Linked DNA regions of Drosophila melanogaster. The protein of the gene in region 1 interacts with the protein of each later gene in a pairwise test. Each region holds a gene or a part of one and is shown on either strand. Other genes may lie near its edges.

Region 1 (8,595 bases):
AACTGGTCTTTGCTTTTGTTGACCTGACCACTTATTTTTTTGGGAGCTCATTAGCCAAATGTGTTAGAAGAGTCGATTCGAGATATTTGAAGCATGAAATATCAATAACGAAATCAATATGAAACCTAACGAGTCTGTCGATCGGATCGATCTCATGGGTTAACATGATGTCGATTTGGTGTTATGAATATTTCGGTTTCGCCTCGGTTATTTATTAAATTTGTGTTAAGGTTAAATATCAGCGTGAAATTGAAATGAATTGTGTTGTGGTGATATTAAAGCGTTGGGATCATTTTCAGATACGATTAAACGAGAATCACGCAACGTTCGGAGATTTCGGCGGGCATATACGTCTAATCTTCTCGGAAGAGTAGAATCTTTATCGCTCCGTTCTTCTGGCCTTTGTCCCCGTTTCTTCGATAAACCAGCGTTCAAGTGTAAATTGAATGATAAGCCCGTTTACTGGGCTTCCAGACTCAGAACAGAGAGAGAGAGAGACACACTTAGCTCCCTCTCTCCTTCTATGATGATGATTGTCTTAATGATGTTGATGATGGGCTGGATGGATTGGATGGATGGGGATGGATGGGGATGGATGGGTATGGCCTTTCAATCTCAATTGGTCCGAAGGTGATTTTGTCGCCAAGGCGAAATCGATCGCATTTTATGGCCTCTCAATTGATTTCTGAAGTAAATATGGCTGCACTGGGAAAACTGAGTCAACAAGTTCTCATTTCCTCGACTTTTTTATGCAATCAATTGAGAAAAGAAGTGCTTGCAAGTTTATTTATGATCTGAAGATTCACCTTCAGTTTCTAGCAGTGTATTTTTCAGAGTGCCACTTGCCAATTGAAATGCATGTGGGTCAGCCATCAGCCAATGGTTCCAATCAGCGAACAACAAGTGTCCCTTTAATTAATCTGCACAATTGCATTGGCGTCACTGCAATCGACATGCGATATGCAGCAAAGTATCGTTTATCTGCCGTAACGTATACGCATACACTGCGGCGTATCTATATCTGTAGATACGGGCAATGCAGATCGCGTTGACCAAGGTCAGTTAGCGAGTGGTTAGACCAGCTTCGCATAAGCTCGGTTGAAGTATCTAATCGATAGGATTCATAGCTTTTCGATGGCTTTCTGATCGGACGAAAGAGGCGGCTTTTACTTTCCTCTAGACACAGTGAAAACTCAACGAAACCAGCAAACCAACAAACCGAACTGACGGAGACACAATACAATGACGACAGTTTGCATGGACAACAGACGCAACCAGGACAGCCAACACAACCCAACCAACCATACATATCATATCATATCAGCAGCCGTGGGCAAACAGAACGCACCAAAAAAAAAAAAAAAAAAAAAAAAAAAACAACTCAAAATGGTTTGGGTAGAGGACACCGACCAGATGATACCCCTTACCCTTTAGTTACTACATGTCCACAAATCCATTAAGCAATATATCCAATACGAAAACGAGTGAAAACTTTTGGAAACTGAGTTCCTAAAATAGAAATCACTGTATCCAATAATTTGTATTTGATTCGCCAAGATCTTTGCCCAAAAACCTTCTCTATATACAATGGCATGTTGCCCCAAGAGCCGCATACCACATTTCCGCATGGATCACTGGGTATGAAGGAAACATTTTGTTTGCAGCAGCGCATGGCAACCGAGAAGTGGCACCAACTTGCTGAAATCTTGAGGCGTCCAACGCAGAAGGAGGCGAACTAGATGAGGGACAGTAGGCGGACGAATTGGAATACGACTACGAATGCGACTACGAATGCGAAGGCCTTGTTTATGAATACGCGGGCATTGTCTGAATGCGAGATGTGAGGCATGGCACAACCAGGAAGAGGTGGATATGGATGTGGATGTGGATGCGAAGGAGAATTGGCTGGCCAAAAAGATACACAGCAAATATAGATACTTCTGCGGTCACAAACACACGTACAGATAAAGATACAGATACAGATACATTTTCAGAAACAGAAAACGATGCAGATATGGATCCAACACGGCCGTGTGTGTCTGTCTGTGTTTGGAAACTAAACAAGAAAATATTGACATATAGATTAAGACTTATTAAGGGAGCTCGAGCTTGGTAGTCGACATCAGATCGCTGGGAATGCCGACGCGAAAAATGAAAAGAAGCGAACAACTCTGATGGAGAAATGTGGCATGTTGCATGTAGCATGTGTAGTATGTAGTATGTAGTATGTGGCATGTCGCGTGGGGTGACATGTTGCCCGATCTGCCGTCTGCCACAAAAACACGTGCACTCACTCGCAAATACTCATATATATGTACAAAGATATGTATAAAGATATAGGAGCCCAGATACAGATACTGTGCCACTTGAATTGAGGCAGGTTCAGCCCGCCGCACACTCATGGCCAATATTTGCCAGCAAATATGGTCGAAATCTATATTTAGACACTTACGAACCGCGAATCAACTGATCGATTCCCATCCAACGATCTCGATCTCCCTTCCCAATAATAAAAACAGAGAGAAGACAGAAAACCGGAGCGTATCGCTGTTAACTGGCTTTCTATTGGAACAGTTGGGCGCAGCGGTTAGCTGTTGATAGCCGAAAGCAAAACAAAGTCGAAACAAAAACAAGAGTGCGACTTTCAGACCTCGAGACTCTTGGCCAACTATTTTGGCTGCCGCTGCGCCCACATGGTAGCTCAACTGGTGCTAAAAAGTGATCGCCAAAAAATGATCGCACCGCCAATGCAGCGCATTAGTCAAAGCTGACTTTTTTGGCAATTTTTTTTTTTTTTGGTATTTTGTTATTTAATCTCTGTTTTTTTTTTCTTGCCATCGAATAATTTTAACTCGACATTGCGGCATTTCGTGTGTGGGTGAGAAAAGTTTGGTGGGGAATTTAGCTGAGATCATTCAGTAGGGCTAAGGACTTATAAGCATAGTCAATAATCATCGGAAATTATAGCGATTTTATTTGAGTGTGATCATCTATCAGTCAATGAATTGGTATTCACAGAGATCACTTGATAATCATGAGTTGTATCCATTAAGTGGACAAATTAGTTAGTTCAGTGAGTGATATGATATGATAAATTAATTCTAAGAACTACTAAAAAGATATTAACTGGAAAGAGCCCGAAGAAAGGAAATGGTATCCCAAAAATATCTGGGCACATACGTTTGTATGTATATGATGGGATCGCAACGATTCCTACGTGTATTTAAATGACCATCGCGATAAGCCAAAAAAGCCAAAATATACGAGTGGGATTAGTGGGCATATACAGATGCGATGTTCCCATGCTGAGCGACGAGGATCATTAGCGAAGTAAACCACTGACGATCGCTATCATAATACTGGCATGGCAAACATACGTACGTACAGAGATACCTGGCTGACTGACTGACCAGCGAAAGCAACCCATTGATAAGACCGCTACAGTGGACTATCTAAACCTAATAGCTGTGACAACCGCAAATTGCATGAGGAATACCATATCGACCGGAGGGGTAGTACCGCAGGGTAGGGGAATGTACAGGTAGTGGGACACAGGTAATGACAATAAACATTCTCCACTTATCAGCAATCCGCTGATGCACGCACACAGAGCGAAAATTAGGGCACGTTTCACGCACACCACGGTTTTGGATATTATGTTAGATAATATAGATTATAATTGTTATACCATTTTGCTCTATTTATATATTTTTATATCTTAAGAATGCCTAATTAGTCAATAGTAATAGTAGACCTTGTTTGCTCTGTGCACTTGTGGTTAAGGAAATATTGAGATGATGTTGCGGTTTTGGTTTAGACTTGGAGCTCAGACTTAAGTTTTGGGTTTTTGCCTTTTGATTTTTCGTTTTTTTTTTTTGGCATGCGATAAGACTCGAGACAAAGCCAATTTCCCGCCGATTTCATTGGAAAGATATGGAGTATAGGGGGTTATACATATGTGCTAGCAACAGCTGATTAGCCATTTGAGCAATTTGCAGCACAATCCGTACACATTATCAAAATTTGAGCCGTTTATCATCAGGTGCGTGAAAGCAAGAGGGCGGTGCCCGATGAGGTGAGGAAATGACAACGGCGACAGGAATGCGAATGCGAATATACGAATGCGAATGCGATTGTATGTATGAATGGTATGTAGATGTACGATGGGTATATATGGTAGGTGCTATAAGGTGGCCTGCGAATACCTGGCCGATTAGCAATCCACTGTCAAAATGCATTGAAAGCGAAAGACGACACTAAAGGAAACAGGGACCAAGGGTGCAATGTACCGAGTGTGTAAACCGAAGAGAACCAGGCACAATGTAAAGAAATCCAACGCACTTTTGGCGAGAAAGACAAAAGAGCTTTTCACTCAGAAAAAAAAAAGAATAGTTGTACAGCAGTAATTATTACTATTTATTTAAAGTTAGGTTTTAATCTTTTTCCAAAGATATTGTACAAAGATTTAGTATGATAACCCAAACTGGGAGCAATTAATGGCCAATCCAAATTCACCATCTCGAGTGTGCACTGTATTTTCTTCGAGTGAAAGAAGGGCAAGCGATCAAGAGAGATAGAGTGAGAAGAGAGAGCGGGTGGAAGAGCGAAAAAAGGAGTCCGCGTGGTCGGTGAACTTGAACTTGTGAAAGGATGGGGGAACTACCGGTAAGTGGCTTTATGGATGGGCTACGATCATCACTTTCAATTAAATTACCAGGGGAACGCCAATGCCGCCAAAAGTCGCAACCCGGGAGCCTAGGAACTGGGAATCTCTAGTTCTGAAGATCTCAAGATCTCTGGAACCTGCTCCAATTTTTGTGCGCACTCGCACTCACTCGCCGACAAACTTCACTTCACTTTTCGCACTTAACTCGGCTGCTGTTGTTGTTGTTGTTACAAAACAATTAAATATAAATAACAACGTTGTAGCGCAAATAAAAAAAATTAAACAAAAAAAAATAAATAAAGACCGGGGGAAAAATATAAAAAAAAAGATGTGTATTTAATTGAGCGCGACACGCAGTGATCTTGTGCGACACAATATTATTTTACTTGAGTTGCAGCACAATTTCAATTCTCGCGATCGCCTTACGACTACGGGACTACGGCTTTACGGATTCCGAAGATTACGGGTTCAATTTCTTCTCCACAATTCTCCTTCAGCGAACGAACGAACGAACAACCGACCGACCGACCGACCGTTTGTGGCCGAGTGCGAACTCGAACTAAACTGAACTGAACTGAAGCCGCCGACAAAACGAAGATCGTCGCCGGCAGCAACAACTCGCTGCGATAATAGCAGCAGCAACAACAACAGCAACAACACAAGCAAAATTACGAGATGCGAAACGATGGCGCACAGTGGTCACACTCCTACTGAAAACTCTCCATTCAGTTGATGGATAATGTTAAAAGTTCTTTGCGCCACAAGATATGTATATGAATCTAAACTATTTATCAATAATAAAAGTATATTAAGAGGTATTTTTAACTTAACAGCACAATGGTCGAAGAGTTAAGGAAAGTTGTATCATATGTTTACAGAACATGTTAACAGCACTTTACTCCACAAGATATATGAAACCATGGAGTAATAGCTTAATAGTTAAACTATATTAAAAAAGAACTTAAACTTAACTCTATTGTGGTCACATGTCAGTCATAAGATCTTACATTTTTCAATATATTAATTACAACCATTTACCCAACCATACTAATTTATGAAAGTATAATATCAAAACTATAATATAATGTATTAAGCAAACTTTACGCTTACTCATAGATCATTGTTGTCACTGTGGTTAACATAGGTTGTAAGGAAGATAGCAAAGTTTTTAACTTTGTTAAAGAAATATTTAATATTAAAGTTTATTCTTCTGCTACTAAGTCAACTTACTGTATTAAAAGTTTCCTAAACTATTCTTTCCGTAAATTAACAATGTTTTAAAATGGAAATTACTATGAATGCAATGGATTGTTATATTGGTGTTTTACGGTTACAAAATTTTCTTTAAAAAAGCGCGGAGTTGGCAAAAAATAAATATTGCTCACCAAAGTGAATTATTAAACGGCAGGTGCTGATTTACTTTCGATTTTGGAAAAGGTGCTTGTAATTATCAAAAATTTATGCTGTCCCAATTTAATTAAACGTGTAATGCAAAATAAGCTTATATTGTTTAAAACAAGTTATAGCTGAAAGCCAAAGCTATGGCACATGGAAATCTAAAATGGTTGTTTTGCAATATATCAGTAATATTTTTTCACATGGTACTGCTGACCAAATCAATATTTCTTGCTGTAAAATGAGACTTTTAATTGTCGGAAAATTATGACACCCATAAATTTTAATTAGCAATCTGTTCTTTTTGTCTTTCGTTGTTTGGTTTTAGCTGGAAATTGAATGCACAGACTTTGGTTCACAATCTTAACAGATTCTCTTGAAAATTATCTTTTATCAGTTTTACTATCGTATATGAATAAGTATTTATATTAAAAGATATATTATTGTGCTTAACCCGGTTATATCTTGTTAAGAGGGCGACGTGTTTGTTTCGCTTGATTTGCAGCTTTGTTTGCTATGTGATCGCATTTTTTGCTCGCACTTATTAATTTTTTTTTTTTACAATTCACCTTGTATTGCCAGCCACAAACAATTTGAAAACGCGAAAACTGTCGATGACCGATAAGCAATTGTCGATTACCGATTAGCGTTTTGACTTCTGGAATTGGAAAGAAGCTTCTGATTTCTGATTTTTCACCTTTTTTTTAGCCCTTCCATTTCGAAATTCAGGTTTTCTTGACAGACCCCCATACCCGCCCCATTTGTCGTGTTGTTCTTCTTGTTGTTGTAAAGTGCCATTGTGTCGTGTCGTCGATCTCATTCGCAAATTATCTTTGTTTGCGAAATTGTAATTGTTTTTGCCGTGCACAATTCAGCAAGAAACCGAAGAAAAGGGCTGGTCTCGAAGTCACATTACCCTCTGATAGTTATTATTCCTTCACCTGCGATCTTGACCATCTCAAAAATTAAAAAAAAAAAAAAATGGTAAATAAATATATGAAAATTCATAACTAGATAAATTATAACTTTATAATAAATTATAACAGGTCGGAAAAATAGAATTAAAACGCTGATTATCATAGATGCCCTCAAAATATCGATGCTTACCATAGATGTCCTCAAAAAAACCAAAGATCGATGATTTTTTTTCAGTGCAAGTGGAGTGCTCAACAGCGGCAGCTTCACTATTGTTGTACTCGATAATGGCTTTTCTGTTCACTTTTTTACTCGTCCCCAAAAGCGGGGCGTGTTCGTTGCTTTGTGCTTTTGTTTTGTTGGTGGAGCTGCTTAGCTATTATTTTTGTTTTATTATTTTGTAATACCTTGACATAGGGTATTTAAATATTATGCAGAACTTCAAATGACCTGTCCGAACGGTGCATACACTATTTCTGTTTTTAATAACTTTTCAACACCTTTCCGGTGGTAACAGAGATTTTCAGTGTTTCCAAGCTAAGTTTAAAACATACATTTTCTTGGGTAAAGAACCTACATATCTCGAAAATCTATGGACCCACAACTACACTACCTGTAAACTTTTTTCTGGACCGTGTCCCAGTAGCAACACATTGAAGTATGCTCTGAGTCTGAGTTTCAGATTGCGATTCCTATTCCGATTCTGGGTTTTGTGTGGGTTGGCGACTGTCATTAAATAGTTTGCTTTTCGCTTTTTACTATAACTACTTCTCTGCTCTATTGTTTTTATGTTCTCTTTTATGCATTTGTTTTGCCTAACAATAAACGATGGGTGAACAACAAATGAAACACATGAAAGCGAAAATAGCAACTAAAACAGCAGTTCAATTAACTCTTTTTGTGAGAAATAAGTGCAATCAGATTTGGATTATAGACCAAAGTGTAGGGCATAACTTGATAGCTAACTCTTGATTTGTATTAAATAAGTTACTTTTTGAGTTCTGTGACAGAAAGTCGCCTACTATGCTATGAATCTTTTGAGTTCGCCTAACAATAGCTTTCAAATGGTAAGTGCTATTTTCCTATTCACTCTCGACGGAGAATGAATGACCGACCGACCGACCGCACAATCGTCCGATTAAGTGGCTCATTAGGCGCCGAGGAGGTCATGTGAGCCATTTAGGCAAATTGCATAAGCGATCCGATCCACTCAAGTGCTGTCCCAGCACAATTACACGACGTACAATGGGCGTTCGTAGACGAAGATATTGTGGCAGAGCACACCTGTTATAGAAACACCAACATCCCCACCGGTGGACTAATGGAATTTTAACGTTACGAAAAAGGCAACTAACCAAAACCACCCACTGGAATCTGGCATCCAAGGACCAGGATTAATGCGAACGTGGGGCGCATGTTGCTAATGTATCTCTTATTAGCGGACATACGCATTCCCATCCCTCATTCTCGTTCCCGTTCCTCGGCTCATTCTGCTCAACCCCCAGTGTCCTGCATCCTGTGTCCTCGGCTAATCCAGTGGAAACATCATTTTGAGCACCTGTTTAATTGCGTTAATCACCAGGAGCAAACATTATTGCCAGCGCCATCAGATGCCGGAA
Region 2 (8,001 bases), on another chromosome or scaffold:
CATCTCGTCCGGGCGTAGATTCTGTGCCACCACATCGTCCGCATAGACAGCGATGATGGCCAGGCAGAGGAACAGATGAAAGTAGTCTGTCAAGTAGTTTGACCAGCACGCCTCCCACATCCGTATGACCACCGCTTCGGTGAATTCGCGCTTAAAGCACAATAGCAGCCAACGATGGCAAAAGAGCAGCTCCATGGAGTCGTTGTGCTGTTCCAGATGCTTGTAGAAGTGCGGCAGCATTATCCGGATCAGTTCGCGCAGGTAGCTCAGATTGTGGTCCACATCCCGGTCGGTGGGAGTGCAGACGAAGAAGGCCCGCTGCATCAGGCCAACGAAGCACCAGAAGGTCTCGGACTCGTTTTGAACTTCGCACAGGACAGGCGCAAGGAGATCACTCATACCCTGTGGGTTATAAACCAAAATATTAAGGACAATTTGAAGAAGCGAGCTAACCATTAACTGGATCTAGGACCCACCTGGGAATAGGACATTCCGGTGTTGTATACGGCAAAGTTAAGCAAAATGTTTTTCATGACCTCGGTATTGGGATTATCGTCGCCGCAGAAGAACGGATTGGTGCGATCCGTGCGAACCACATCCTTCTCCACCACAATCTGCACGGTCTTCCAGAAGTGAATTTGCTGTTCTGGGGACATCGAGTACAGGCGCTTTCGCGTAATTTCCTCGTACTCCTGCCGCTTGATGTCCATGAGCACTGCGCGATCCTCGAATGTCGAGGAGAATGAGTAGCACTTTAGAAGGAATGGCCACACCGTCTTTCGCAGACTCTTTTCCAAGCCACCAAAGAAGACACATTTCCGGAGCAGCAAGTCGTCCTCGATCTGTCCCTTCTCATTGAGCAGCGTGCCGTAGAAAAAGTTCGTTGTTATCTTCTTGACATCGCCCTCGTCCGGATGCATTTCCGATTTCTTAACCTCCGGCCGACAGACCATGAAGTGCCTGTACGGCAAATCGAATTTATCCTGGCCCGTTTCCGATGTGATGTTGTGCAGAAAGCAGTGCCACTGGTGCAGCACCTGGGCCAGGTGATCCAAGCCACCGTAATGGAAATGTAGAATCTTGTACTGCGACTCCCGCGACGCGATCACCAGCTGACCCGAAGTGCAGTTGTCGTCATTGAAGAAAAGGCGCAGAGATCGCATTTGGCTTAGGTCAACGGAGAAATGGCGGCACTTCATCGCGGATTTTTGGCGATCGGCTGGCGTCGAATTGCCGCTATCCGGGAACTCCAGGTTGTGCTTGAAGGCCAGCAGTTCAGGTGTTGTCCACTTTGGGTTATCGGTTGCCGGGCCATCGCCTACTCCAGAACCATTCGTGCAATCGGAGCAATTGTTACTATCCGGCCGGATGGTGATGCAGTTGAAGGACTGCGATATATTGCTGTTCTCGATCTGCGGATTGGAGATCGTTATGTTCACCGACGTGATGGGGTTATTCTTCAGCAGAGCGGTCAAGTCGTCTATGGATGCAGCTTGGCCACCCAGCAGCGGTTGCAGTTCGTTCTTTAGCTCCTGCATATCCGCCGCGTTCTCATCCTCCTCCCGAATGTCCCTCTCCTGGATCGTCTGCGGTATGGTCACGTGGCAGTAGCCGTTTCGAGAGTCCGGCGACTTGCTCCTCGGATTACACTGACCCCGGCAATCGTCGGCATTCAGATTGGTATACTTGCATAGCGACGAGTTCGGTATCCAGGTGAGCAGAAGCGTGGGCCTCTTGGCGCTATTATACTGATCTACAAAGGTCTTTGTCGTGCAGGTCAAATAGCCCGGATTGTGCAGTATATCCGACTCATCGCGGGCGATTGTGGGCGGATGGATGCAGACGTTATTCTTGCAGAAGAGGATTTCGTTGTCTTCGTAAGCAATATCGATTTTTCTGTCCAATCTCTCGTCGCCCAGTATGAAACTAGAAGCCTTTTTGATAATGCTTCCTATGGGCATGGTCTCGAATTTGATATCCTTGAGCGGGTAACTACTATATGGTGAATTATAGGTTTCCTTCCCGGAGTTATCCTAACGGATTTACTAGTGGGCGGATGGGGAACTTTTTTCTCTGGTTAGCTTCTGGTTTGGCGGATTTTTGTTTGATTATGGCGGTCGCTGGTTACCATAATTTTAGGAATTGGTTGGCTAAACCTTTGATTCGACAATTAATTGTAACACAGCGGATTGGTGAAAAAAAAAACTATTAACTTTTGATTCTAGGGACCTCTCACAAGCAGGATGACATTGGAGGAAAAGAATTTACGCGAAAACTCAGCGCAGGCGCAGTTAACAGTCGATGGTTTTAAGACTGGTTTCGATATTTAATACTTTAAAAATGTTGAGGATTTATTAATTCAAACTGCAATGAAAAGGTATATTTTTAATAACAATGATAATATATTAAATGCGAGTAGGTGTATATTAATATCTTCTTATTCAGCTTGCAAATCAATCAAATCTAAGTCTATTTCTATAAGCTTTCTTCACATAATCATACTATATATCAAATGGAATACAAAACATATTATATATACATTAATTAAATATAATTTAAATAAATTTTAGAAACTACAGGAACATTGGTATTGGAACAGCATATGTTCCAGCTATCGATATCAGACTTACCTTCACTAACGTAAATAGAATCAATAGTCGCTTAAAAATATTGACATTGCATTTAGTTTTGTCTTGAGTTCTTGATAAAATGGCGAGCAAAAGAAAGCACCAAGCATCCCAGAAAGTGAAAGAGGAATCCTTCAAGAAACACACGCTTGACTCCGATGAAGAGGATTCTGACGACTACGAAAGGTAATGCTTAAAATGTGCAAACAATTGATTGTTTTGATTTCGGCACTTTTTGTTTGCAGGGAATACCTCAATGATAGCGACATTGAGGGCGGCGAGGAGGGCGTGGCAAAAGTGGAAGACGATGTGAAGGTAACACCCTTCAATATGAAGGAAGAACTGGAGGAGGGACACTTCGACAAAGATGGTCACTACCATTGGAACAAGGAGACGGAAGCAAAGGACAATTGGTTGGACAACATAGACTGGGTTAAAGTAAGGATTCCATCACTGCTGCCTGTACACAATCATTTAATTTAAAAGCAATATTTGCCTAACAGATTGGCACACAGAAGAACGCCTTCGACCCGGCAAAAGATGAAGAAAACTCTTCCGATGAGGAGAAGAACGAACCCGTGGGCAAGGCCTTTAACTTGTCCATGAACCTCATGAAAATGGTCGAGTTTATGAAACCGGGAGAGACTGTCAAGATGACCCTGCAGCGTCTGGGTAAGCAGCGCCCCGTCCTAACAACCCTTCAGAGGATTAAGCAGAAAAAGGCCGGCATCGTTGACCCAAAGACACAGGAAATCTCTCAGCTCACCGAGCTGGCCAACGAGATTCTCTCGAAGACGGGCAATATGGATATATATCAGGATACGTACGAAAGCATCAAGGCCAAGATCGCCGATTTGCCAGGAACGAGCAAACCTAAAGTAGCCGATGATATTGATATGTATGCAGATGATTTCGAAACGAAAGAATTGGAGCGCTCTAAGACATCGTCGAGTGATAGCTCCAAACCAACGACGACTACCTCAGAGGTGACCTGGGAGTTTAAATGGTCGCAGGATGAGACTGATATCCAGGGACCCTTTTCCACGGAGAAAATGTTGAAATGGTCCCAGGAGAACTACTTTAAAAACGGAGTCTATGTGCGAAAGTGCGGCGAAAACACAAATTTCTATACAAGCAACCGCATAGATTTCGATTTGTACTTGTAGGCCTTAGTTAACAAATGTTAAATTCTTTGGGTTTTAACATGTTTTCTGCAAATACTTTGTTCTATAATTGTATACTGTATACTTTACAAGAGGTTTCAATTAGTTTGCACTTGGTTTGGACTTAAAATAAAATTCATATTCATATTGATTCTGTCGGCTCTTAAATTTGGTCAGATATACCAAATTATGTATCCGAGTTACTTGCGCTAGTGACGAATAGCGAAAGATTCTTCTATTAGACCCACTAGTTCAGTAAGAGATATCTGATAGTCGAGAAACTCGAAAATGGCACTGTTGTTTTTGAAATGTGCAAACGATAGTGTGGCAAAAGTATCGTTTGGGCGGTGATAGTGCAATCGATGAATGTGCAGCTTTAATTTAAGCTTGTGAGTCTTGGCAACTCTAGAAACACATCGATTAACGTAGCTGAAAATTGTTTTATGTTTAATTAAATACAGGCGAATAGCTCAAGATCTTTTTGGTGTTATGAGCGTTCAAAAGTCACTACCGTTTCCCACTTAATACTTTGTTAACTGTTAAGTTCGTGCAGCAGTTCCCCAATTCTTGCAGAGGAAACAAATTTACGAGTGCTTCGGTGTTGTTGGACACACACTCACTTTTCATCGGTGGAAAATCAAATTTGGGACCAGGCGCAGAAGATTCGTCAGGATGACGACCAAGCACATCTATTCCACGACCAATTTATCAGATCTGCAATTAAAGGAGCAGGGAAACTGCTTGTTTGCAGCCCGAAAATATGACGACGCAATAAATTGCTACTCAAAGGCCATCGTAGGTGTCTCACATATTTTTGTTATTGTGATGTGTATTTTGTTGTTTACATGTGCACTATGCTCCATATAATATGTAGATAAAGAACCCCACAAACGCCACATACTTCACAAACCGAGCCCTCTGCAACCTGAAACTGAAGAGATGGGAACTGTGCTGCCAGGATAGTCGGCGCGCCCTCGACATCGATGGGAATCTGTTGAAGGGTCACTTCTTCCTGGGCCAAGGACTCATGGAAATCGACAACTTTGACGAGGCTATAAAGCACCTTCAACGGGGTTAGATAATACCTGACCTTTGATGTTCTCTACACTAACTAACCATATATGAAACTTATAGCATACGATCTGTCCAAGGAGCAGAAGCAAAACTTTGGGGATGATATTACACTACAGTTGCGACTAGCTCGCAAAAAGCGCTGGAATGTTATGGAGGAGAAGCGAATACAGCAGGAAATCGAGCTGCAAAGCTATTTAAATGGGTAAGATGTTATTCGAATTCTCTAGATGCCTTTTGCAAACTAAATTTAGTCACCGCACGACGATATCGAGGCAATTGTTGTCCTCATGTGATAGAATATATATTAAAAAAAGCGAAATTTGTGCAAAACCTAAATATTTATGTTTCAGTCTAATAAAAGGGGACATGGAAAGCCGTTTGGCCAATTTAAAGCTGAATGGAAATGTACACGATGAGCAGCTGAAAGACAAGCAACAGGAAATTGAGCAAGAATGCGTAAGTTGGACTTTAACCAGAATATTTAGCGGAGTTGACAATCTAATTTTACTTTTTAGGATGACCATATTAAGGAACTTAACAATATATTTTCTAAGGTTGACGAACGTCGAAAGGTAAGAAACTAAAGGAAAAATAACCAATATTAAAAATATTGTTCTAATATTGTTATTTACATATTACAGAAACGTGAAGTTCCCGATTTTCTATGTGGCAAAATAAGTTTTGAAATATTAACAGACCCTGTGATAACTCCATCTGGAATTACGTATGAACGAAAAGATATAGAAGAACACTTGCAGCGGGTTGGACATTTCGATCCTGTGACACGCGTTAAGCTCACTCAGGATCAACTAATACCAAATTTTTCAATGAAGGAAGTGGTTGACTCTTTTATTGCCGAGAATGAATGGTCTTTAGATTATTAAGTTACTTATTAGTTGGCATTGTCATTGTAATTGATTAGATGTTAGAACCCAGTTCCCATTGTCTAAAAACCAGATAAGTGATAATAAATGTGGATCTGCAATTGAGATTTATATTGTAAATGGATAAATTGTAATTATTAATAAATTAAACAGCATAATGTTCAAAATATAAATAAAAAAGCTTTTGCACGATATCGATAGAGAGTTAGCGGTAGTGTGAAAACAATATAGTTTCGATCACCCGTTCCAGTTAGTCAAAAAGTTGGTGATATCTTGACCAAACAAATTATCGATATACAGCTGCTTACAGATTTGCAGAAATCATTTTCAAAGAAATTTGTTTATGTGAATTCACAATTGGATTAACTTCGCTCTTCTTTGTTTAGTATTTATTTAACAATAATATGGATTCGTCTGAAAGCCAATCGCAAATGGATGACCAAGATGCTCGCATACTGCGTCTGCAAAATCTGATCGAAAAGAATATTGAGATAGGTAAGTTAAATCATAAATTACTAATATCTGAAATAACTATATGAATTGCAGAGCAACAAATCGAAAACAACACCATCGGAGAGTCTATCACGGCCATAGAGGAAATCATTCAGACAGCCAACGATATCAGCAAGGGACATGAAGACCGCCGTACAAACTCCACGGAACTTGTCCTGGACACGGAGCTACTGCGTCGCAATTTCGAAGTTGTGGGAAAAGCTATCCAACATAACACCAACGTCACGGATCGAATGGTGGCCACGGCGATCGTAGGTGCACTGTGTACTTTATTTATGCCTGATCGTAATGTTTGATCCTATTACAGAACGATTTGGTTTTCAAAGAGAGCGAAGAAGATTGGGATGCTCTTTGTTCATTGGCTATTCAGTTCGGAAGACCACTCTTCACCAATGATAGCATGCTGCCCTTCATAGATGTTACTCCAAAGGTGGTGGTTCAAAAGCAACGTGCTCCTCGCAAAACGAAATCTCAAGTAAGTCATTTGTTAAACAATTTCTCACAGTAATATTTGTTCATATTATTATGGATCTTGTAGGTAGATGAGAAGCGTCCAGAAAAGAGTGACCAATTGGAACGCAAGGACGAAGGAGCAGCGTCCGTAACCCACATGCTGAAGCAAATAAGACAAATATATCGAGATGGCAATCAAGAGCCGATTCCGTACTTTAAACTGATTTGCAATCCAAACAATTTTATGGACACCGTTCAGAACGCTTTGCAACTGTCGTTTCTTGTCAAGGAGAACTATATTTCCATCGAAAATGGCGAGGATGGTTTGCCATTGGTTCGCGTTGTGAATTCCAAATCGGTCGAAGGAAACGCACCGTCCCAGGCTATTTGTTCCATCGATGTTACCTTTTGTGAGGTTCGTATTTCAATTATTGTTTAAAGCATTATAATTGATATGATTTAAATTACAGAAAATGGTAAAGCACTACAACCTACATGAGCCAATGTTAAAAAGACTTCCGGTTAGTGAGAAATAGATATATCACTTAGTTCATATTAATAGTTTATATTGTTATTAATAAAACACATAGAACGTTTAAAGTTACTCATGTACGGCATAAATAATCGGGTAATTGAAAGTGTTCTTTCCCCCAAACATTAAGTAATTAACGTAATATCAACACAAAATCATTAAATGAATTTTATTACTCAAGCAGTTACTTCATAGTTCAAACACTTCCCCCAATATTTTACTACGAATCCGCCCCTGCCATTATGTCAATTTTTATGACCGCCTACAAATTGTGAAATATGTAGAAGGGGCACTTGTGAAGTTATAGCAATATAAAATGTATGTATGTTATATTTAGGAACTAAATATTAGTTAAGTTGTTTACTTATAACTTTAACCAGTTTCGGATTATGTTCTTAATCCGTTTTTCCTGGTCTCAATGGGTGGCATACCAAGAATTAAACAAATAAATTACTTTGCAGAGTGGAATAATGAATGAATGAATGATTGGTCCATTAATTAAAAAATCACTCCTGTGCTCGAAATTAGTGCACTTTCCGTTGCACAGCGGCTTTTAATTGAATTCCGTTAACTTAATTCCACAAAGAGAAATTAAGATTAATTAAGATTTATTGCACAATGAAGCTTAGGGTTAATTGCATCTTTGCGGTCGACGGAGTTTAAAAGGCTTTCTATGGAGTATAGCCTTTTCTAAGAGATCAGTGCTTCTATTCAAACTGGATGTAGTAGATCAAGTTACTCGATGCACTATTGTC
Region 3 (8,746 bases), on another chromosome or scaffold:
AACTGTTTCGGTCGGTGAAAAAAATAAATTGAGTCCCAGGATCGCCGGTGGCTATAGGGCCAAGACCTTTACAATCATATACCTAGTTGGAATCGTCTACTTCAAAAGTCAAACTTCATCCCTGAACTACGGAGCCGGCACCATCATTTCGAATCAATGGATCCTTACAGTCAAGACTGTTCTAAAATATAGCTACATTGAGGTCCACCTCGCATCAAGAAGATCGTATAGGGGCTTTGACATTATAAGGATCTACAAGGAAAACTTCCGCTTTCATTATGATAATGACCATGTAATTGCCCTGGTTAAGTGTCCCTACCAAAAGTTTGATCGTCGAATGGATCGTGTTCGCGTTCCAGCTTATGATACAAGATTCGAACGATACGTGGGAAATATGACCATGGTCTGTGGCTACGGAACCGAAAAACGACATGCTAAGCTGCCCGAATGGATGCGTTGCATAGAAGTGGAGGTCATGAATAACACGGAGTGCGCCAAATACTATACGCCATTGAAATGGTATGAGATGTGCACCTCCGGCGAGGGTTTTAAAGGAGTTTGTGAGGGTGACATTGGTGGTGCGGTGGTCACAATGGGGCCGAATCCAACCTTCATTGGCATCATATGGCTCATGCCCGAAAACTGCAGCATTGGATATCCTTCGGTACACATACGCGTCAGCGATCATATAAAGTGGATAAAGCGTGTATCCGGAGTGGGATTCTGTGAGTATTCCAAATATGAACTATTTTTTTTTTACTAATAAAGGTGAATGGCTAAATTGATTCATTGCAGAACAAGGATGTACGTTTTAATAATGCTGCCCATAAAATAAACAGAAAAATAAATCAAACAAAAATACAAAAAACAAAGTTTTTCTGGAAACAAAGCATGTCATGTCATGTCATGTTTTTAAAAAATATTAATAAAAATTATTGTAAATATTCTGCAAAATGCAGTTTCTTATCTTAACTCTGTTAGTTATTTGAGTACACAGTATCAAATATTTTACAGCTTGGGATTAGCACACCCAAAATACAGGACTCCTAAAAGTCTACTGCCGTATTTAAACTTATTAAACTAAAATAATTTGGTTTGTATTGCAATTTGGGGATATTATATATAACACAATCGTTAAAGTGTTAAATTTATTGTTATTGTAGCCCTGTTACAGTTGAAGTTGCACTATTTGCTTTATTTCGCTCTTTTCTGTTCAGGCTGCGGTTCTTTAGCGCACATTCATTCATTATCGCCATATATATATATATATATATATATATATATATGTGTGTGTATATATATGTATATCTGTATATGTAGTGTGCGGTTCGTCTGGTGTGGCAATAAAAATGGCTTGAATATTTTTCAGTTTGTTATGCATTTTCCTGCCACTTGGGCAGCAACAACAATTATGAATAACTCGCTGCATAATGGCCAGCAAGCTGTTCCCATGAAATTCCTGCATCGATTACCGGGGGTTGGGATATATATTCATATAAATGTATATATATGTATATGTGCATATATCACTCCGCCAATTACGTGGCAAAGGGAACTGAACTGGGAACTGGCAGTCCCGGCGACAGTAATCAAATAATTGTTGCACTCACTGTCATACGTATCGCACTTTGGCTTTAATTATTTGCACAGTTTTTCACTCCGCAATGGACACGTCGTAATAAGGATATGCGGATAAAGTCCTGAATATGCCAAAGATTACTCGATTAATGCAAAGCGGTTCAGTGCGGCATTTCAATTGCAATTGTTTACTATGCAGAGCAGCAAATTGTTAGTTAACTTCTGGTAATAAAAAATTCACATATATGTACCTAATCGATTTCGAAACGAAACAAGTAATCCGAAATTTGTTTTCGTATATGTCAGCAGCGCTTGTATTTCGAAATACACCGATTCGTAGATGTGATGTTAAATATTTGATAAAACACATTTCCCAGTGCCACGACTTTACCAAAATTATTGAGTTTCCTGATCATCTCGCCCGTGCCGCATAAAATTCGCCTCCATTCCCGGCATTCCGATGGACTACAGCTATAGCATTGGCTCCAAGTCGCCAGTGTTCATCAGCAAATGTGCCCCGTACAACTTTCTGCGGGAATACCGCCTAGGCTGCGATTGTAAGAATATACCAGCTGTCACACTGGTTAAGGAAGCCCGCAACGCTTGGCACGCACTCAGTGACCAGGAGCAGTCCTTGTTCGAGGAAGTCCCCTATTTGATGGCCCAATTCGGACCATCCATCGAGTCGGCAATGAGGTTAACCGTCAATGTCCTGTCGCCTCAGCAGGTCACAGTGCAAAGGACGCGCTCTGATGTTCAGTCAAGTAAGCGTAGAATCTGTCGTGGAAATGCCAAGACGCATAGGAAGAAGCGGCAGCAGAAGATGGGTGCAACGAGCCGGAAGCGAAGTCCAGGGATTGGAAGTACCAGGTGTACCAGGTATACATCCCAATTTCACTGGGAAAACCCGCCTCTTTAAAAACCTTGATGAACCCTTTTGACCACCGGATATGCTAGCAATGGAAAATATAGGTACACTGCAATCAAATGTTTTTTTTTTCTGGGAGCTTAAAGGCTCATTTGGGTTTCAAAATGTTATGGTTTAAGTAAATAACTTTGCTGAAAGGTAATTTGATAACTGCATTATTTGTTGCGCTTATCGCTTTTCAACTTAATTTAACACCATTGTTTTAGCCAAAAGCTTTCGATTGGTTAATCTATTAAATTACGCTGTAATTTGAAAATTAATTCGAAAAAGTGTTGTTTTTGTTTCACGCCCTGACCCGCTGATAACCTTGCGACGCCCACCCGCCCACTTGAAATCGAATACGAAATCGAATGATTCATCCACGCACAAACGGAAACAGAAACATTTATTCCACTTGAACGGACTTCATTGGCGATTTAATTGTTGCGGATTTTTTACAGTAAATTCCATTAAAAACTTTTTGAAAATGCATATTATTGAAATTCATATATTCGTGCTTGTTGTTCGGATTGCTGGAGAACAAATTTTGTGGCGCCTATTTAATTATCCAATTACAGCAGCACCATCAGCAGTGCGAGAAATTAACTTAAATGCGAAAATATTCGCCGACGGCACTTTAAACATTTCCATTTTAAAATCAATGCGAAAATGGGCGTGGCATGTGGAGGACGGGGGGGGGGGATGTTTTGGGCTTCTGGTTGGTGGGGCGGAAGCCAAAACACAAACACGAAATATTTCGGCTATCACTTTTGGCTGAATGCGGATGCGGCGGATTCGGTGGATTCGGTTTGGGTTCTGTTTTTGCTTTTCGGTTTTTACTGTCGATATTTTGCACTGTTTGCCAATGTTATTTGTTTGTTATTCCTTGGGCTTTGGTTTTTGCCGACACACGCAATTTTGTGGTCCATTAAAACAGTCAACGGCAGCAAATATCGCTGGTCATGAAAAATTTAATAATTCGTTTAAGAATTAGATGGGATGTAACGGTCGTAAATTAATATGGCCCGAATTAAGGAGAATTAAAAGTAATTCCAGAATCTAAATTTGAGTTTCCAATTTTAAAATATGAATACTTCCATTTAAGTATATTCATCCAAAGACTGTGACACATATTTAGGTCACATAATTGATTCATCAATAAAAAAAATATTGTTCAATTAATATTTATATCGCGCGATATCAACGTTTTGCTTGTTTTTGGTGTGGCACTGTAATTGTACCGCGATAAGCTACGGGCGATTTGTACCTGAGTTGGGTACCGCACATCTCTGATAGCCTCTAGTCGCGTGGAAATTGGCTCAAAACAACAGCAACGGTCGGGAAATTCGTGGAAAACCGTCGAACGAATATAGAAAACTCTACAAAAACGACCAAAGCAAGGTCAAGTAAAGAGACTCACTATCTCTGTCTCGCTCTGCTCTCTGTGGATTGCCACGACTAACGTCACCGAGCGAATGACTCACTGTGACTAATTTTATGGGACTGCACTGTGCCAGTGCCGCTCTCGCTCACGTTCGCTCGCTCGCTCTTTGTGTGGGAGAGCGTATGCGCGCAGCGCTTCGTTTAAGCGACTAACGCACGCGAACGAGCGAGACAGCCGTACAAGCCAGTTGAAAGAGCGAAAACTACAGTGAAAAAACAAGTACAACAACTGCCAGCGGAGGCAGAAATTTTCTTCAATCGCCGCGAAGATTTCACAGCGTTTGGGCGTGTTTTTTCCGTTTCTGCCACAGAAAATCAGCAAATCCCCACATATGCGGGCCCAATTAATTCATAAATAATATACCGACCGAACAGAAAGAACGCCGTCACGGTTCTGCTTTCAATTAAGAATATTGATTTGACAACTTTCGCGATAAATCAAACTCCACTTCAAATTCGCATCTCTCTCTGTACGCGATTGCTTGAATGTGTGTGTGTGTGTGGGCAGAATTTGTATTAGTGCGTGAGCAAATTATTGTATAATCGCCAAAAAAAAAAAACAATAAAAGCAAAACGCCAACGCGAAAAGCAAAAGCTATACAATTAGAAAAACTAGCTGAGCTGCGATACAAGGCAAAACTAAATTGTGTGACTAAAATTTGTCTGTTGAACAGAAAAAAGAAAAGTACAAAATAGTTCAAAAGTACAAATATCGAAGCATTCAAAAACTGTCTGACCTACTGAATTGAATGAATTACCCCAAAGTAATTATAAGTTAAGCTGCCACAAAGAAAACCAGTTGAGCCACTGGAAATCGAGCACGAAACCAGCTGATCCACTGAAAAACCCTCTGCCCCCAGCGCACAAGCAACCCATCGAGCTGCTGAACCCATCGATTGCCCAGTAGTACCACCAGTACAGTAGCCTTCATCATGCAGGCCATCAAGTGTGTGGTTGTGGGCGACGGAGCGGTGGGAAAGACCTGTCTGCTGATCAGCTATACGACCAACGCCTTCCCCGGCGAGTACATACCCACGGTGTTCGACAACTATTCGGCGAATGTGATGGTGGATGCCAAGCCCATCAATCTGGGCCTCTGGGATACGGCTGGACAGGAGGACTACGATCGCCTGAGGCCGCTATCCTATCCGCAAACGGATGTCTTTCTCATCTGTTTCTCACTGGTGAATCCGGCATCGTTTGAGAATGTGCGAGCCAAATGGTTTCCCGAGGTGCGTCATCATTGCCCGAGTGTGCCGATAATCCTGGTCGGCACCAAACTGGATCTGCGCGACGATAAGCAGACGATCGAGAAGCTGAAGGACAAGAAGCTAACACCGATCACCTATCCCCAAGGACTGGCGATGGCCAAGGAAATAGCTGCGGTCAAGTATCTGGAGTGCTCGGCCCTGACCCAAAAGGGTCTGAAGACGGTCTTCGACGAGGCCATACGATCCGTGCTATGTCCTGTCGTTCGAGGACCCAAGCGGCACAAGTGCGCCCTGCTCTAAGAACTTTGAACCCACCCAAAACAAAAACGCGAAGAACTTCAACAAAAACAAAAAAAAAAACGAGAAGAGAAGAGAACAAAGCGCAAAATTCTGTGCAAAATATTCATATTCGCTTTGTTGGGTCTTTAGTTACAGCAGATAGTGTGTGAGTGTGTGTATTGTGTGTGTGTGTGATGTGAGTGCAAGTGTGAGCGCGTCTCTGGGTTGCGAGTGTGACGGCATGAGTGTGTGAATGAGTGAGCGTAGTTTTGTTTTTATTGTCAGCTTTATGTGGGGGAGCAGCAGCCACAAAAACAACAACACAGCTATCAGCAAGGGGGCTACACAGGGTGGGGGCGGGGCCAGGGGTCTCTGGGGGGCAGATCACGGATAGAAAGATATACACATAAGCATATAAGTATGATATTGTGCGTACACAGTAAAATAAATGTGGAAGAACTTCTAAAACTTGAGATATTTGATGTAATATTGCTCAAATTAATTTCTATATTGCTCTAGATAACATGTTTAAATTTTTCTGTTCTGAGTTATTGTTTCGTAGTATTTTTAATGACTAACTTGTTTTAGAATTTAGATTAAGTACAACTCATACTTTTGCGCTTATGACATACAAGAATTAACATTTTAAAAATGATTTCGACTAATTAAAAAAACATTTTTTATATAATGTTAATTGCAAAAAAAGAAATTTTGATTTTCGCAAATAGTAATCCATAAATTGCCTTAAAACGCAAGTGCATTATATTAAACAGCAGAAATTAGAACTTTGCAAATGAAATTCGGCCTGAGAAACGTATGACAAATCAAATAAAATTAATTGTAAATAAATCTAGACGATTTATAGCCTTTAGCGCCCCAAACGCAGTCACTATAACCAGTACCAGATAGCCGTTATCTGGGTGTGGAAGAAAAACCCCAGGAAAGGCCCCGCCTATGGCCAATATCTGAACAATCGGGGAATGTGGGAAGCCGACAAAAAAAGAACTTTCATTTATACATATAGTATTTAGAGTTACGTGTGAATGTGTGTGTGTGTGTCTGATCAATGGTCTTCCCGCTCAACGCATTTGCCTGGACTTGATTTAATGTATACTAAATGCACAATTAGCCTCTACTTTGATGTTAATTTATATACTGATATTTATGTTAAATAAATGCATACATTTTGCCAATTTGTTTTAACGAAAGAGAGCGAGCGGTAAATTAAAAAAAAAGGAAACACTTTATTTATATTAACACATAATTTATCAATAAAGAGTGTAATATTAATCAACCAAAATAAACGTTTGTACAAAACTAAATAGTCGGATGAATTATGTTGGGAGCAAAGTGCAATTCAGATTTATGTCTATTATGGAAGTAATGTGGGTATATTTAAAGGTTTTCATAGTTGGCAATGCAATGGTGCTTGACCCCTGAACTGCTGCATACTTTTCGGCTAGTGGGGAAAATTGCACACGCCTGGCAACTTTAATCTTATCTGCACCCGCATTTGTCACAAATTTTAGATAATTATTTCCGATTGCCGGACACGCCGGAAGTTCTGATCCCCGGACCGGTTGACTAAGCAATTTGCCAGTTTCAGTCCTATCATACATACATACATACATATGCCTATATACTATAATGGCTACATCATATTTATTTATGTCTTTATGCTCCGCTTTCTTTCAATTCTATCTATATCTATAGAATACTTCGATTGTCATAATGAGCCAGCTGTTGATTGATTGCCCGCGGATACGAGTATGATGAGGGGCTGGTTTGGGTGATTTGGGTGTTTTGGGTGGGTGGTTTTCGATGGCTTTGCGGTCACCGTGTGTCTGCGGCTCGTTAGCGGATGTGGGCATGGCCCCACACTGCCGCTGCTCAGTGTGTGAATTTGACAAATAATTACATAAGACAACCTGCTGTGCGAATTGTGCCCATCCTCCCGCACATTTCAATGGCCACTGATGGATGTTTTTGCCACACCACCATCACCAACCCATCGTGTGGTTTTGTCTGTGACGCGACGAATCGCATAATTGACCCACATTTTGAACAAACACCGCGGCACCAGGCAGCAATCAAAACAGAGAGAGGCCGTAAAGGATAGGGAGACCAACGAAGTCAATTTAATTAGCAAAAACATTTGGCTAGCATCTAGAATTTGGCTGCACCTTTAGAATTTGCACTTTTGGCTCTAGAATGCACCGCTGAAGAAGCCGCTGAGTGAAGACGCGTTGACAGGCGTGGAATGTTCGGCATGTTCAGATACAATTGCCCTACTACATTGCATGCAGATACTTTGTAACAGAACAATACCAAATTCATTTATAATCAATTTCATAAACGAGATCCACGTGTTTGCAAGTTATACAAATAACAGTTTTAAATGTATAGGTTTCTTTGTGCTTCATGCTGGCTTCAATTAATTTCCAAATTTTCCTACGTCTTTAAAAAACATTTCATACAAAAAAGTCTGTATAGTTAGTTTATAAAATTCCTCTAAAATGCAAATGACTGTGCTTTTTCCAATGTGAAATTTATTTCTCACCTGTAAACAGCAGCATTCCAATGCTCTCATAAATAAAAGGCATATAATAAAATTGGCTTGATTTTCCCTTTAATTTTCCATTTACCAACCACAGTCCAAATTTTAGAATGTGAACGGTATTATTCCTTGATTATCACCCCATCCCCCTCCCATCAAATCGAAGTGGGAAAACTGCAGAATGGCCAATACCGCTAAGTGGACAACTGCTGTGCGATGCAAATCCATTGACAAGTGTCGCATAATCATGCCCCATGCCAAATGTAAATGCAAATGGAAATGGCAAATTTATGCACTGCATGCGTGAAATTAAAAGCTTCCCCGGCGGACTTACAGCTCCATTTGGTCCTGATTTTCCAGGGCCAGGTTTTGCAAAAGAGGCTTGCGCAATTTGTCCGTTTTCAAGCGGTTAACAATTTGGCTAAATCAATTATACGCTCGGTGAGCAACATGGAATCGTGGCGATTTTCAGCTTAATTGAGAGATTTCCAGCGAATTCGTGGCCGTTGGGAAAAGTGGAAAAATTTAATATGAAAATTTCCGAAAGAATTCCTTGCTGGCCACAAATTTCGTACAAAATGCCAATAAAATACGCTCCAGCGTAAAAATTCCATGCCACATAAGATGAAGGTAAATTCAGGTGAGCTTGGCGCTGGGGGAGGTCAAAATATTTCACACTTCCGGTGTGGAAAATGCTTGCACCTGATCCTCTGCCAACAGGATATGACAAGCTCGGACACCTTTTCACATCCCCGCCCAAACCACCCAGCT

The links. The genes of interacting proteins can lie anywhere in the genome.
Region 2: the proteins of spri (region 1) and STUB1 interact in a two-hybrid assay, tested with the Drosophila melanogaster proteins (one large-scale study listed by BioGRID).
Region 3: the proteins of spri (region 1) and Rac2 interact in a two-hybrid assay, tested with the Drosophila melanogaster proteins (one large-scale study listed by BioGRID).

Annotation. Positions count from the first base shown.
Region 1 is NC_004354.4:10,580,196-10,588,790, forward strand, and holds the start of spri (sprint), read right to left. Parts: upstream 5,228-8,595; 5' UTR 4,715-5,227; intron 1-4,714. UniProt on the Drosophila melanogaster protein: Potential Ras effector protein. May function as a guanine nucleotide exchange (GEF), by exchanging bound GDP for free GTP.
Region 2 is NT_033779.5:10,433,377-10,441,377, forward strand, and holds STUB1 (STIP1 homology and U-box containing protein 1), read left to right. Parts: upstream 1-4,171; 5' UTR 4,172-4,462; coding exon 4,463-4,585; intron 4,586-4,664; coding exon 4,665-4,863; intron 4,864-4,924; coding exon 4,925-5,066; intron 5,067-5,214; coding exon 5,215-5,320; intron 5,321-5,379; coding exon 5,380-5,436; intron 5,437-5,505; coding exon 5,506-5,748; 3' UTR 5,749-5,864; downstream 5,865-8,001. Other genes in the region: TBC1D16 (TBC1 domain family member 16), read right to left, coding at 1-402, 477-1,961; holn1 (hole-in-one), read left to right, coding at 2,710-2,813, 2,873-3,065, 3,131-3,793; Nse4 (Non-SMC element 4), read left to right, coding at 6,153-6,243, 6,295-6,512, 6,569-6,736, 6,800-7,129, 7,185-7,250.
Region 3 is NT_037436.4:7,430,625-7,439,370, reverse strand, and holds Rac2 (Rac2), read left to right. Parts: upstream 1-4,180; 5' UTR 4,181-4,860; coding exon 4,861-5,439; 3' UTR 5,440-6,609; downstream 6,610-8,746. Other genes in the region: sphinx1, read left to right, coding at 1-725, 796-797; CG14835 (uncharacterized protein), read left to right, coding at 2,039-2,497. UniProt on the Drosophila melanogaster protein: Involved in integrin alpha-PS3/beta-nu-mediated phagocytosis of Gram-positive S.aureus by hemocytes.